Arabidopsis thaliana: one gene and its partner. The protein of the gene in region 2 interacts with the protein of the main gene of each other region in a pairwise test. Each region holds a gene or a part of one and is shown on either strand. Other genes may lie near its edges.

Region 1 (6,692 bases), on a different chromosome or scaffold from region 2:
TACCGCTCGACTGCATTATCAATCTGATGTTATTTACTTTCTTGATTCTGCTACATTTTAGGGAGAGGTTCCTCTCCAGGGAGATTTCTCAGCAGAACATATGATATTTGGAGGTAATTTTCAGTAAGTTGATTTGTTTTATCTTTAGTCCCCTTTTTTCAGGCTTATAAACTGAAGGAGATTTTCTTTCGTTGTCCTTCTAGTTGAAGGAACTGATCCCGTGAGAAGAGAAAAACTGATTGATCTTCTTGATATCAATCTTCAATGGCGTATGCATAAGGTTTCTGATGGGCAGAAACGGCGCGTGCAGATATGTATGGGACTCTTACATCCATTCAAGGTGAAAACAATACTGTTTCAGAGAGGCTGATTATTCTGCATCCTCTAAAATCTCACATGATTCATTGTCAGTTATGTTCTCCTCTGGCTTTAAGCAAAAAAGAACCTCGTTTCTGATTGTGTTATCATCATTGCTGACGCTAATTTTAATCTGATTTTACAAACTTCTTATAAATCTCTCATGCTCTGATCACAGGTGTTATTACTCGATGAGGTCACTGTTGACCTAGACGTCGTTGCAAGGATGGATTTGCTGGAATTCTTCAAAGAAGAATGTGATCAGGTAATATTCTACCAGCCTCTTTAATATCATCTATGATCTCCTAAGTATATACAAGCCGTTTGTGTACATGTTTCTGTCGGTTAGTAACTGGAATATTAATGCTTAACCATTCAAGGACAAGCTTTTCATATCGGTTCTTGTTGCTGCTAAGTGATGTTGCCTATAATTACTATAGGGTCCTTGCATGTCTATGATCTGTGGTAGTACCATAAAAGGATAATTTAGTAGTAGCATGCATGTATCATGCAGTTTCAAGTGCAAATTTGTACCGGTTTTTATAGTTTCACTTCTTGAGTTCTGAGCACGTATTCGTATTGGAAGATTACAACTCACACACTTATTCTTACTGATGACTTATTGCATGATCTTTGACTTGTTTATACCATTGATTAACTCAGAGAGGAGCTACAATCGTGTATGCAACTCACATATTCGACGGGCTAGAGACATGGGCGACACATTTGGCCTACATTCAGGACGGTGAGCTGAATCGTTTATCGAAAATGACAGATATTGAGGAGCTGAAAACTTCACCCAACCTCCTCTCCGTGGTAGAATCTTGGCTCCGTTCTGAAATCAAACTCGTGAAGAAGAAGAAGAAGCCTGTGGCGCCATGGAAACCATCTCCATTCGATAACTCTCCTTTTAGATCATCGAGACACATGGCTTATTACCGATGATTGGTGATTACCAGTGAGATCATTGATCCTATATATGAATTTGATAATCGGTAAGAATAAAGACACCCGAGAGTAGTTCAGATTTCGTGTGTGTAGCTGCTATTTACCACTTGGCTCATTGAAGAATAGACAACAAATTGTACTTACAATTGTGCTGATATATATACCACAGTGATTTTCACAAAATGGGAAGTGAATTTATTTTACCGATTGCTTCAAACCCTTAATTCTATATACTTGATCTCTAAACATTGTGTAAATTGTGTAAATTTCAACCAAAATCTCTGAAATGTGTTTTTAACGTTTTTGATCATATAAGTGGACAATATGAACCGGCCGATTTTGCTCTTAACCAGTCGTTATTTTCCATAGACGGTCGGTTTTTCTTGAACCGGGAATTTCCACATGATTTTATTGACAGAACGACGTCGTATTAAAATAGAAGGAAAGAAGAACCGACGTCCGAATGACGAAAATCTCCCTGAAACTTAATAAATCTTAACCCTCCTTTGCTCGATCCATTATCGGGGAGGAGAAAATCCTACCGCCTTCACCACCGTCGCGCAGACGCCGCAATCACCAACACTCATCGTCACTGACTCCAGATCTTCCTCTCCAACTAGGTTTGCAATTCTCTTCTCCTTCCGCTGTTTATTGGTTTCAATTTCTGCTTAGATTCTCTTACTGCTGGTGAAACTTGAATTTGGAGCTTCTCTTTTCGCTCATTTAACCACTTCGTGTGTTCTTAGGGTTTAGATGTTGGTCTTTTAGGGACTCTCTTTGAATACTTGTTTATTGCACTTTAAGAATGATTCAATTTATCTTCGACAGAGAGATATGGGTTCTCATGGTAAGGGTAAGAGAGATAGAAGTGGAAGGCAGAAGAAGCGGAGAGATGAATCCGAGTCTGGGTCTGAGTCCGAGTCTTACACTTCTGACTCTGATGGCTCAGATGATTTGTCGCCGCCCAGGAGTTCCAGGAGGAAGAAAGGTAGCAGCAGTCGTCGGACTCGACGCCGTAGCTCAAGTGATGATTCCAGTGACAGTGATGGTGGACGGAAGAGTAAGAAGAGATCTTCATCTAAGGATTACTCGGAGGAAAAAGTTACGGAGTATATGTCTAAAAAAGCTCAGAAGAAGGTAAACTTATTGTTGTATGTTATTTTGTTTTTTGTCCTTTTTTTGTGTGTTTTAACCCTTGTATTTGTTGGAGCTGGTTGCTAACTTTATGCTACTTGTTAAATTCTTTGTAGGCATTACGTGCAGCAAAGAAACTGAAGACGCAGTCAGTGTCAGGGTACTCCAATGATTCAAACCCATTTGGTGATTCAAATCTCACTGAGACGTAAGTACTAAGAAAATATGATTATTGTTTCTGAGTTTTAGTGGTGTATAACTTTGATGATAGGATGTAGGAGGATTATGGAGCTCTCCTGGTTTTCTACTTGTACAAATTTTGAAATCTGGTAGTTAAAAAAGTTGGCTTAAATTGAATGTGTTATCGATTTGTACAGATGTACTTGTGAGTAACTTGGTTTTAAGAGTCTGCAATTCTCATGGCATGCAATTTTATTAATATCAGATTTGTGTGGCGGAAGAAGATTGAAAAAGATGTTCATCGAGGAGTACCGCTGGAAGAATTTTCCGTTAAAGCTGAGAAGAGAAGACACCGGGAAAGGATGGTATGTACAATAAGCATTACTGATTAAAAATATCGATGAAATTTTCATTTCCTTGATGCTTGTAACTATTTGCTATTTTTTCTGGTGGAATGAGCTTTCTGCTTATGTATTAACTCTTAAGCACTTTGGTTTAACGCGCAGACAGAGGTTGAAAAGGTTAAGAAGAGGAGAGAAGAGAGAGCAGTGGAGAAAGCTCGACATGAAGAAGAAATGGTAAATTCTGGTATCCAGAAGGATGTATACAATTGAAATTCTTATTAGCCAGTTACCTCTCTAATTTGGTTAATACTGTATAGCTATTGACTTAAATCGTTCTATCCTCTGCAGGCATTGTTAGCTAGAGAACGTGCTCGGGCTGAGTTCCATGATTGGGAGAAGAAAGAGGAAGAGGTATAACTGCGTTTTCTTTGCTTTTGCAATTAATTCTTCTTTACAGTTGTTTGGTGTATGTTGCTTGATATATCTGCTTGATCTACAGTTCCATTTCGATCAAAGCAAGGTGAGGTCAGAGATTAGATTACGTGAAGGTCGACTGAAGCCAATCGACGTCCTCTGCAAGCACTTGGATGGTTCAGATGATTTGGATATCGAGCTCAGTGAACCGTACATGGTTTTCAAGGTATTTAAAAAGATTATATTATATTGTAAAGCCATAGGCGTGTTAAGTTGTGGAGCTTTCTCACTGAGGTTTATACTTTCTTGGGCCCAGTCCAGTTCCATAACAGTTTCAGTCTATGCAATCAGTTCGATTGTGACCGTAGTAGACAGGGAACAAGCTTGAGATAAAATAAGTTATTCTGCAAGTCTAAGTATGAGCAATTTAGATGCTGGGATAGCATCTATTCTGGTTAGCTTTTCTGAGTATCTCTTATAACTCTGTGAACCTATGTAGAAAAAAAAAGTACGTATAGGAATTTGGCTGAATTTCCAGCTCAGCATAACCAACGTCTATGTAGAAGCAGAATATAAGAATGATTCTGCATGCTTGCTTTTGAGATCGAGAGTGGACATCTTGTTAAATAAAGTCTCTGATTGTGTAGTTGTTCTCTTTTTTGGTTGACAAAGAAGATTTTACTGGTTTGGTTTTATCAGATTGTTATGATTCTTATTATTAAAATTGACCCCCTGATCTGTATGATGCAGGGACTTACTGTTAAAGATATGGAAGAGCTTCGCGATGATATCAAGATGTATCTGGATTTGGATCGGGCAACTCCAACACGTGTACAATATTGGGAGGTATGTTCTACAACTGAGTCTCATTTTGCATTTGAGGAGATTCACGCATTTAAAGTTATTATGCATGTATGGAATTTCGATCCAAAAAATACATATTCTATGGACCATCTTGTTGTACCTTTTTGATGGTTGATTAGTATTCTTGCCTCTTTTTCATGTTATATTACCTGCTGCTTACGAGTAAATATTTGGGCTTAATACCATTGAAATTTTCCAGGCGCTTATTGTGGTATGCGATTGGGAGTTAGCTGAAGCTCGTAAGAGGGATGCCCTTGATCGAGCTAGAGTTAGAGGGGAGGAGCCTCCTGCAGAATTGCTTGCTCAAGAGAGGGGACTACACGCTGGTGTTGAAGCTGATGTGAGAAAACTTCTCGATGGGAAGACCCACGCGGAGCTTGTAGAACTGCAGTTGGACATCGAATCGCAGCTGCGTTCTGGGTCTGCGAAAGTAGTAGAGTATTGGGAAGCAGTTCTTAAACGCCTCGAAATATACAAGGCAAAGGTATTTGCTCGTGGATGATCATGGTGTGTTAGATTTTGAAAACTGAGGATTTGTTTTTCGCATCTTCACTGACTATATTGATGTTCAACAGGCTTGCTTGAAGGAAATACACGCTGAGATGCTGAGACGTCATCTACATCGCCTCGAGCAACTTTCAGAGGGTGAAGATGATGTAGAAGTTAATCCTGGCTTAACACGTGTGGTGGAAGAAAATGAGGAGGAGATAAATGATACGAATCTTTCAGATGCTGAAGAAGCATTTTCTCCAGAGCCTGTTGCGGAGGAAGAAGAAGCTGATGAGGCAGCAGAAGCGGCTGGTTCGTTTTCGCCAGAGCTCATGCACGGTGATGATCGTGAAGAAGCAATCGATCCCGAGGAAGACAAGAAGCTACTGGTATATTTAACAGTTCCTACAATTGAATTTTACACATGAATTATTGTTGTTGGTGCTTCTACTGACCCAAAATATGACTGCGGCTATAACAGCAAATGAAACGGATGATTGTGCTGGAGAAACAGAAGAAACGGCTTAAAGAAGCTATGGACTCAAAACCAGCACCTGTAGAAGATAACTTGGAGCTTAAAGCAATGAAAGCAATGGGAGCAATGGAAGAAGGTGATGCCATATTTGGCTCTAATGCTGAAGTGAACCTCGATTCCGAGGTACCCTTATCACTATTTTTCTCTTCTCTGCAACTTTTCAGTTTTGTAGAACAAAAATACCATAATTTTCATCTTCTAGGTATACTGGTGGCATGACAAGTACCGGCCAAGAAAACCGAAGTATTTCAATCGGGTTCACACAGGTTACGAATGGAATAAGTATAACCAAACTCACTATGACCACGATAATCCGCCTCCAAAAATCGTTCAAGGATACAAGTTTAACATCTTCTACCCGGATTTAGTAGACAAAATTAAGGCTCCCATTTACACTATCGAAAAAGATGGGACAAGTGCTGAAACGTGTATGATCCGGTTCCATGCTGGTCCACCTTATGAAGACATTGTAAGTACTCGTAACCATTATGTGGGTTTCATCATCACCTCTCGTGTTATCATTGTGCTCAAATTTATTTTTGTTTGCTTTTCAGGCGTTCCGGATTGTGAATAAAGAATGGGAGTATTCTCACAAGAAAGGTTTCAAATGCACGTTTGAGCGTGGGATTCTGCATTTGTACTTCAACTTTAAACGACATAGGTACAGGCGATAACCTTATCGGAGTTTGGCTGGAGAAGACGAAAGTGGCACTTGTAAGACTTTGGCTGATGTTTTTAAAAGCCTTGTTTGTAAGAGAAGGGCGATATACATAGTCTAAATTTGGATTTCTCTCAAGTTAATTTCTGAGGTAAGAGCTGTATTTGGATATTTTGTTGAAGCTGATCATCAAACAGAACCGAATAGAAAATGATTTTCCCACATGACAAACTAACAATCGAAAATGTAATGATGATAACTAACAAAATGTGACGTAAATAATTTGAACAAATCTGGAGTTGGTGTTTCTGCAAGAACTTTTTGGTGAATGAGTGTTATATGGAAAAGTTGGTGTAGAGACATGAATGTGTGTTTTGGTTGGGGACGAGAGAGACGAAGAGAGAGAGAGTTAAGGTGTTGAAGTTGCTTATTAGGTTGAGATCTCAACATCAAAATGCTTATAAAAAGATTCTGTTGGTAACTTAAGTAGTGGAGTAGAAGATATTATTTATTCTGACTTTTCCTTTCTTTTTCATCTTCCTTTTGATGTCTCTTTTTCTCCAAACTCTCCTCCACTCCAAGACAAAAAAAAAACCCTTCTTTTGTATTCGTATTACTTAAAATTTGCATTTCTTTTAATAATCTCGATTCTGAATATTATATTTATGTCTAATTTTCGTTACTAACAAACTAACATAACCAAATTTTCCGTATATATCCACCATTTAAGTTTAATGAAGCTTTTTGAAAATGAAAAACTAGTGCGTAG
Region 2 (4,570 bases):
AATGACTAGATTAGGATATTGAATAATCCTAGCGTTGCTGCAGTTAATGTATAGTGATGGTGATAAAGCATTTGGCACATCAAGCGAACTATGCATTGACGAACGACTTAGAATTTCTTCTGATGGCATTATAGTTCTGAGGTAAATCTGAATTGTAACATTCCTGTGCCAGTGCATTTTGTTAGTCGTATTTAATAATTTGTTGGCTTCCTTGTATGATTTTCTATAATCCAGCATGGAGATCATGCGTCCAGGGGTCTCAGAAAACACTTTGAAAGGAAAAATAAGAATCACAACGCGGTGCATGTGGCTTGACAAAGGAAGACTTTTAGATGCACTTCACAAAGCAGCTCATGCTGCTCTATCAAGTTGTCCTGTGACATGTCCCTTGTCTCACATGGAAAGAACAGTCTCCGAAGTCCTGAGGAAGATTGTAAGGAAGTACAGTGGTAAAAGGCCTGAAGTCATCGCTATAGCCACTGAGAATCCAATGGCTGTCCGAGCTGATGAGGTCAGTGCGAGACTGTCTGGTGATCCAAGTGTTGGTTCTGGAGTTGCAGCTTTAAGGAAAGTTGTTGAAGGAAATGACAAAAGAAGTCGGGCGAAGAAAGCACCTTCACAAGAAGCTTCCCCCAAAGAAGTAGATCGCACTTTGGAAGGTCTGGTCTTACTTTCACATTTGTAGGTCTATATTCGGGATGTAATCTAACATGTTTCAGTCATGCAGATGATATCATTGATAGTGCAAGACTACTGGCTGAAGAAGAAACTGCGGCATCAACATACACGGAAGAAGTTGATACGCCCGTTGGGAGTTCTTCAGAAGAGTCAGACGATTTTTGGAAATCATTCATCAATCCATCATCGTCACCTTCACCGAGTGAAACAGAAAATATGAATAAGGTAGCTGATACGGAGCCTAAAGCAGAGGGTAAGGAAAACAGCAGAGACGACGATGAATTAGCTGATGCTTCAGATTCTGAAACCAAGTCATCACCAAAACGTGTGAGGAAGAACAAATGGAAACCGGAGGAGATAAAGAAGGTAATCAGAATGCGAGGAGAGCTGCACAGTAGATTTCAAGTGGTGAAAGGTAGAATGGCATTGTGGGAAGAGATCTCTTCAAATCTATCAGCTGAAGGAATCAATCGAAGCCCGGGACAATGCAAATCTCTCTGGGCATCACTTATTCAGAAATACGAGGTTCGTCTCTGAACATATGAATCTGTAGCCGTAGATTTGAAGTTCATGATTACAAGATCAAAAGCTCTTAAGTTAGCAACCAAGATTTGATGTAATACATTTTTGTGCAGGAGAGCAAGGCTGATGAGAGAAGCAAGACGAGTTGGCCACATTTTGAGGATATGAACAACATTTTGTCAGAGCTAGGCACACCTGCGTCTTAAGTAATGTGATTTAGATGACATTATCTTCCCAAAAGAATCATCTCCAGATTTTCTTAAATTGAACAAAAACAGAAAAGCATTAATTATATTATGTATGTAACCAGCTGTAAGATGATTTTTGTCTGTAGAACTAGAAGCTATCAACGCAGAATCCAAATCCCAAGGGACAAGAAAGCCATGACTAGTTTTTTCGGTTTGGTTTAAGATTCGCTTTGGCTTCAAACACATGACTAACCGGAATTATTCAATTTTGATGTTCATGTGGTTTTCTTATTGGTTTTCGTTGATTTTATATACCACCAATCACTAATTTTTTTAATTAAATCCGGTTTAGATGCTGTTGTACATTGAACCAACAGTTAAAGTGAGAAATGACGGTTTCACCCTTAAAGCAGCGTAGCCCGTCTGGTATTCCACCGTCGATCGCCGCCGTGGCAATTTTGGTAATTTATTATTATTTTAAAAACAATGTGAAAGAGATTAATGCAAAGTTGAGAGCTGAGTTTCCGACAAATTTATTGGATTGACGAACTTTGAAGAAGAAGAAGAGAGATGCCGAAGAGAACGACACACACGTACTCGAGCGAGGACGCCGCGCCGGATGGACCCGACTCTGATCTCTTCGTATACTACTGCAAACACTGTGGTTCTCATGTCCTTATCACTGGTTCGTTTCTCCAATTTCACCTTTTGATTCCGAGTTTGGGGTTTAGTTGCGTTAAATTAGAGTGAAACCCTTTTACTTGCGAGATTGCTCTTTGGTTTCCAGATACATTGATTGGGAATTATGATTGAAAGTTTCAATCTTTGATTTACTTTGAACATCAGGTCATAGTAGTTTATAGTTTTTAAGTGGTGGATAACTTCTTGCTTTGAATTTAGATTAACAACAAACTACTTTTTAGGTCCAAGCACAGATTTTTACATGATTTCGATTTAGATTCTTGGGGTTTTGTTACTCTGGTAATGTTGATATTCGTTTGTGAACTAAAAAGTTGGAATGTGTTAAGACTTGTAGCTCATTGCATGTTTCCAGTAATTCTGTAGATTTACTTATGTCCTGAATCTTTCTCATTGGCTTGGTTACTCCTTGAGAACTTAAAAGCTAAGATTTTAAGTGGTGAAATATGTCGTTTATCCGATTAAGAGTGTAACATGCAAAGTTATGGTATCCTTGTATATTGCTTGTATACTAATTTAGATCCTTTACAAGATACCCAGTTGCAGAAGATGCCAAAAAGGAAGACCGACAGGTCGAATGTACTTGACAAGAAGACGCACCTTGCTAGGTTGAATGTCAGCGAGGGAGGAAAAGTTTTATTGAAACGGTAAGTTTTGGTCTAGAGCTACTGAGCCAGTGTTTGGATTTAACCATCGATTTATCTAAAAGTTTGTTTCTTTATGTTTGGTTTGTTACCAGTGGCGAAGGAAAAATGGAGAGACAGTTTAGAATGAACTGTATCGGTTGTGAGCTTTTTGTTTGTTATCGTGCTGAAGAGAATCTGGAAACAGCGTCTTTCATTTACATTGTTGATGGAGCACTTAGTGCTGTTGCTGCAGAAACCAACCCACAGGTACAATTGGTTTCTTATAATCTTTTCAATTCCAAGATCAAAAACTAGATCACTAATCTGTTGTGGCGGCACACAGGATGCACCAGTACCTCCCTGCATTTCACAACTCGACGGTGGACTTGTTCAGGTTGCAATAGAAGTGGAAGACCGTGCACAACGTTCAGCAATCACAAGTAAAACATAGTATTATGGCACAAAATCTATTTTCTTACTCACTTGACATGGATCTTCGATTAAACAATTGCCATACTCTTTTTTCTCTCTGCAGGGGTAAATGCTGATGATGTTCGTGTGACTGTTGCTGCACCAGCAGCCCGTGGGGAAGCTAACAACGAGCTTCTGGAATTCATGGGAAGGGTACCAAATCAATCCGTTATTAATCACTTTTTAAGATTTATACTCTAGTCACGGCGTTTCATATTTTGTATGTGAAAATGAGGTTTTTTGACCAACGCGACACGACCTCTGTGTTTTTACTCTTTCAGGTTCTTGGTTTAAGGTTGAGCCAGATGACTCTCCAAAGAGGTTGGAATAGCAAATCAAAACTCCTCGTGGTACGTTGATCCTTCCTTTGAGTCTCTTGAGAAGACTTTGTGAAGATTCATCTCTAAAAACTCTTATTGTTTTTCTTAGCTCTAGATGATAAGGTTTTGGCTTTTATACTAATGGCACAAGGACCTCTAATAGTGGTGATCAAAAATAGGTTGTCGCATTGAATGAATAACCCATTCTGATTTTTGTTCCCCTGAACCAGGTCGAGGATTTATCAGCTAGACAAGTGTATGAGAAGCTTCTCGAGGCCGTTGTACCGTAAAAACTGCGGTTTGTGGTTGGTGAACGACATTAGCTGAAATCTCTGCAACTCCTTAGTTAACACCCTTTATTGGTATGAAGAACGAGTTTTCGTATTTTACTTGAGAAAGATAGCTATAAACAAATTGCTTTCTTCTTTGTTTTCATGCTTATGCGACAACTAACTCTTTTTATACAATCCCCTATTGTTAAAAGTTATAATAATCGTCTATACTCTTTAGATTCCTTCAAAACTGATTTATCTATTTCGGACCATTCGAAATTGAAGTCATATGAAAAAAAGTTTGAAAATCTTTATATATATGTCTGCACTAATTTCAAAAACCTGTTATTAAAAACAAATTTTCAGTGTATAATCTGCAGAATAAAACGATCACTATTGCACTAATTAAGCTTAAGAATAAGATATATTTGTGTAGTCCAAAGGTGACTGTACTGTGACATGTTTCACATGTTTCAGTTCTATTTCATCGCTGTATCGGACCAATCGTCACAGACACAGTTAGCTAGTTTGTAATTATATATATCTGCCCCAATCTCTATTTATTAATATTAGAGACATACATATACTTCCAGAAAGTGTTTAATGCGTGACCTATGTCTATCAAACTGATTAATATATTGCATCCACTTCGATAAGACGACATACTGATTTATATTTAATTTTTCTATTCACAAGTAAACTGTGAATCCCACACATATATAATATATTTATTTGATTTAATTTATAAACCACACATTTTACATATTAGTTGGATATTCTACAAGGACATGACT

What was found.
Region 1: the proteins of AT5G63440 (region 2) and AT1G03910 interact in binary tests that used the Arabidopsis thaliana proteins (3 or more experiments, as listed by UniProt).

The regions. Positions count from the first base shown.
Region 1 is NC_003070.9:994,293-1,000,984, forward strand, and holds AT1G03910 (cactus-binding carboxy-terminal, cactin), read left to right. Parts: upstream 1-1,822; 5' UTR 1,823-1,925; intron 1,926-2,133; 5' UTR 2,134-2,139; coding exon 2,140-2,442; intron 2,443-2,555; coding exon 2,556-2,647; intron 2,648-2,884; coding exon 2,885-2,984; intron 2,985-3,125; coding exon 3,126-3,197; intron 3,198-3,311; coding exon 3,312-3,374; intron 3,375-3,462; coding exon 3,463-3,603; intron 3,604-3,876; coding exon 3,877-4,008; intron 4,009-4,127; coding exon 4,128-4,223; intron 4,224-4,440; coding exon 4,441-4,725; intron 4,726-4,816; coding exon 4,817-5,119; intron 5,120-5,211; coding exon 5,212-5,388; intron 5,389-5,467; coding exon 5,468-5,734; intron 5,735-5,819; coding exon 5,820-5,939; 3' UTR 5,940-6,145; downstream 6,146-6,692. Other genes in the region: ABCI19 (P-loop containing nucleoside triphosphate hydrolases superfamily protein), read left to right, coding at 62-113, 204-340, 536-622, 1,021-1,302. UniProt on the Arabidopsis thaliana protein: Plays a role in pre-mRNA splicing by facilitating excision of a subset of introns. Required for embryogenesis.
Region 2 is NC_003076.8:25,404,402-25,408,971, forward strand, and holds AT5G63440 (hypothetical protein (DUF167)), read left to right. Parts: upstream 1-1,850; 5' UTR 1,851-1,958; coding exon 1,959-2,073; intron 2,074-2,619; coding exon 2,620-2,734; intron 2,735-2,826; coding exon 2,827-2,980; intron 2,981-3,056; coding exon 3,057-3,153; intron 3,154-3,248; coding exon 3,249-3,337; coding exon of another isoform or gene 3,338-3,385; exon of another isoform or gene 3,386-3,465; coding exon 3,466-3,534; intron 3,535-3,734; coding exon 3,735-3,794; 3' UTR 3,795-4,055; downstream 4,056-4,570. Other genes in the region: emb2746 (RNA-metabolising metallo-beta-lactamase family protein), read left to right, coding at 44-141, 235-659, 728-1,203, 1,314-1,406. UniProt on the Arabidopsis thaliana protein: May play a role during early embryonic development. Probably involved in pre-mRNA splicing.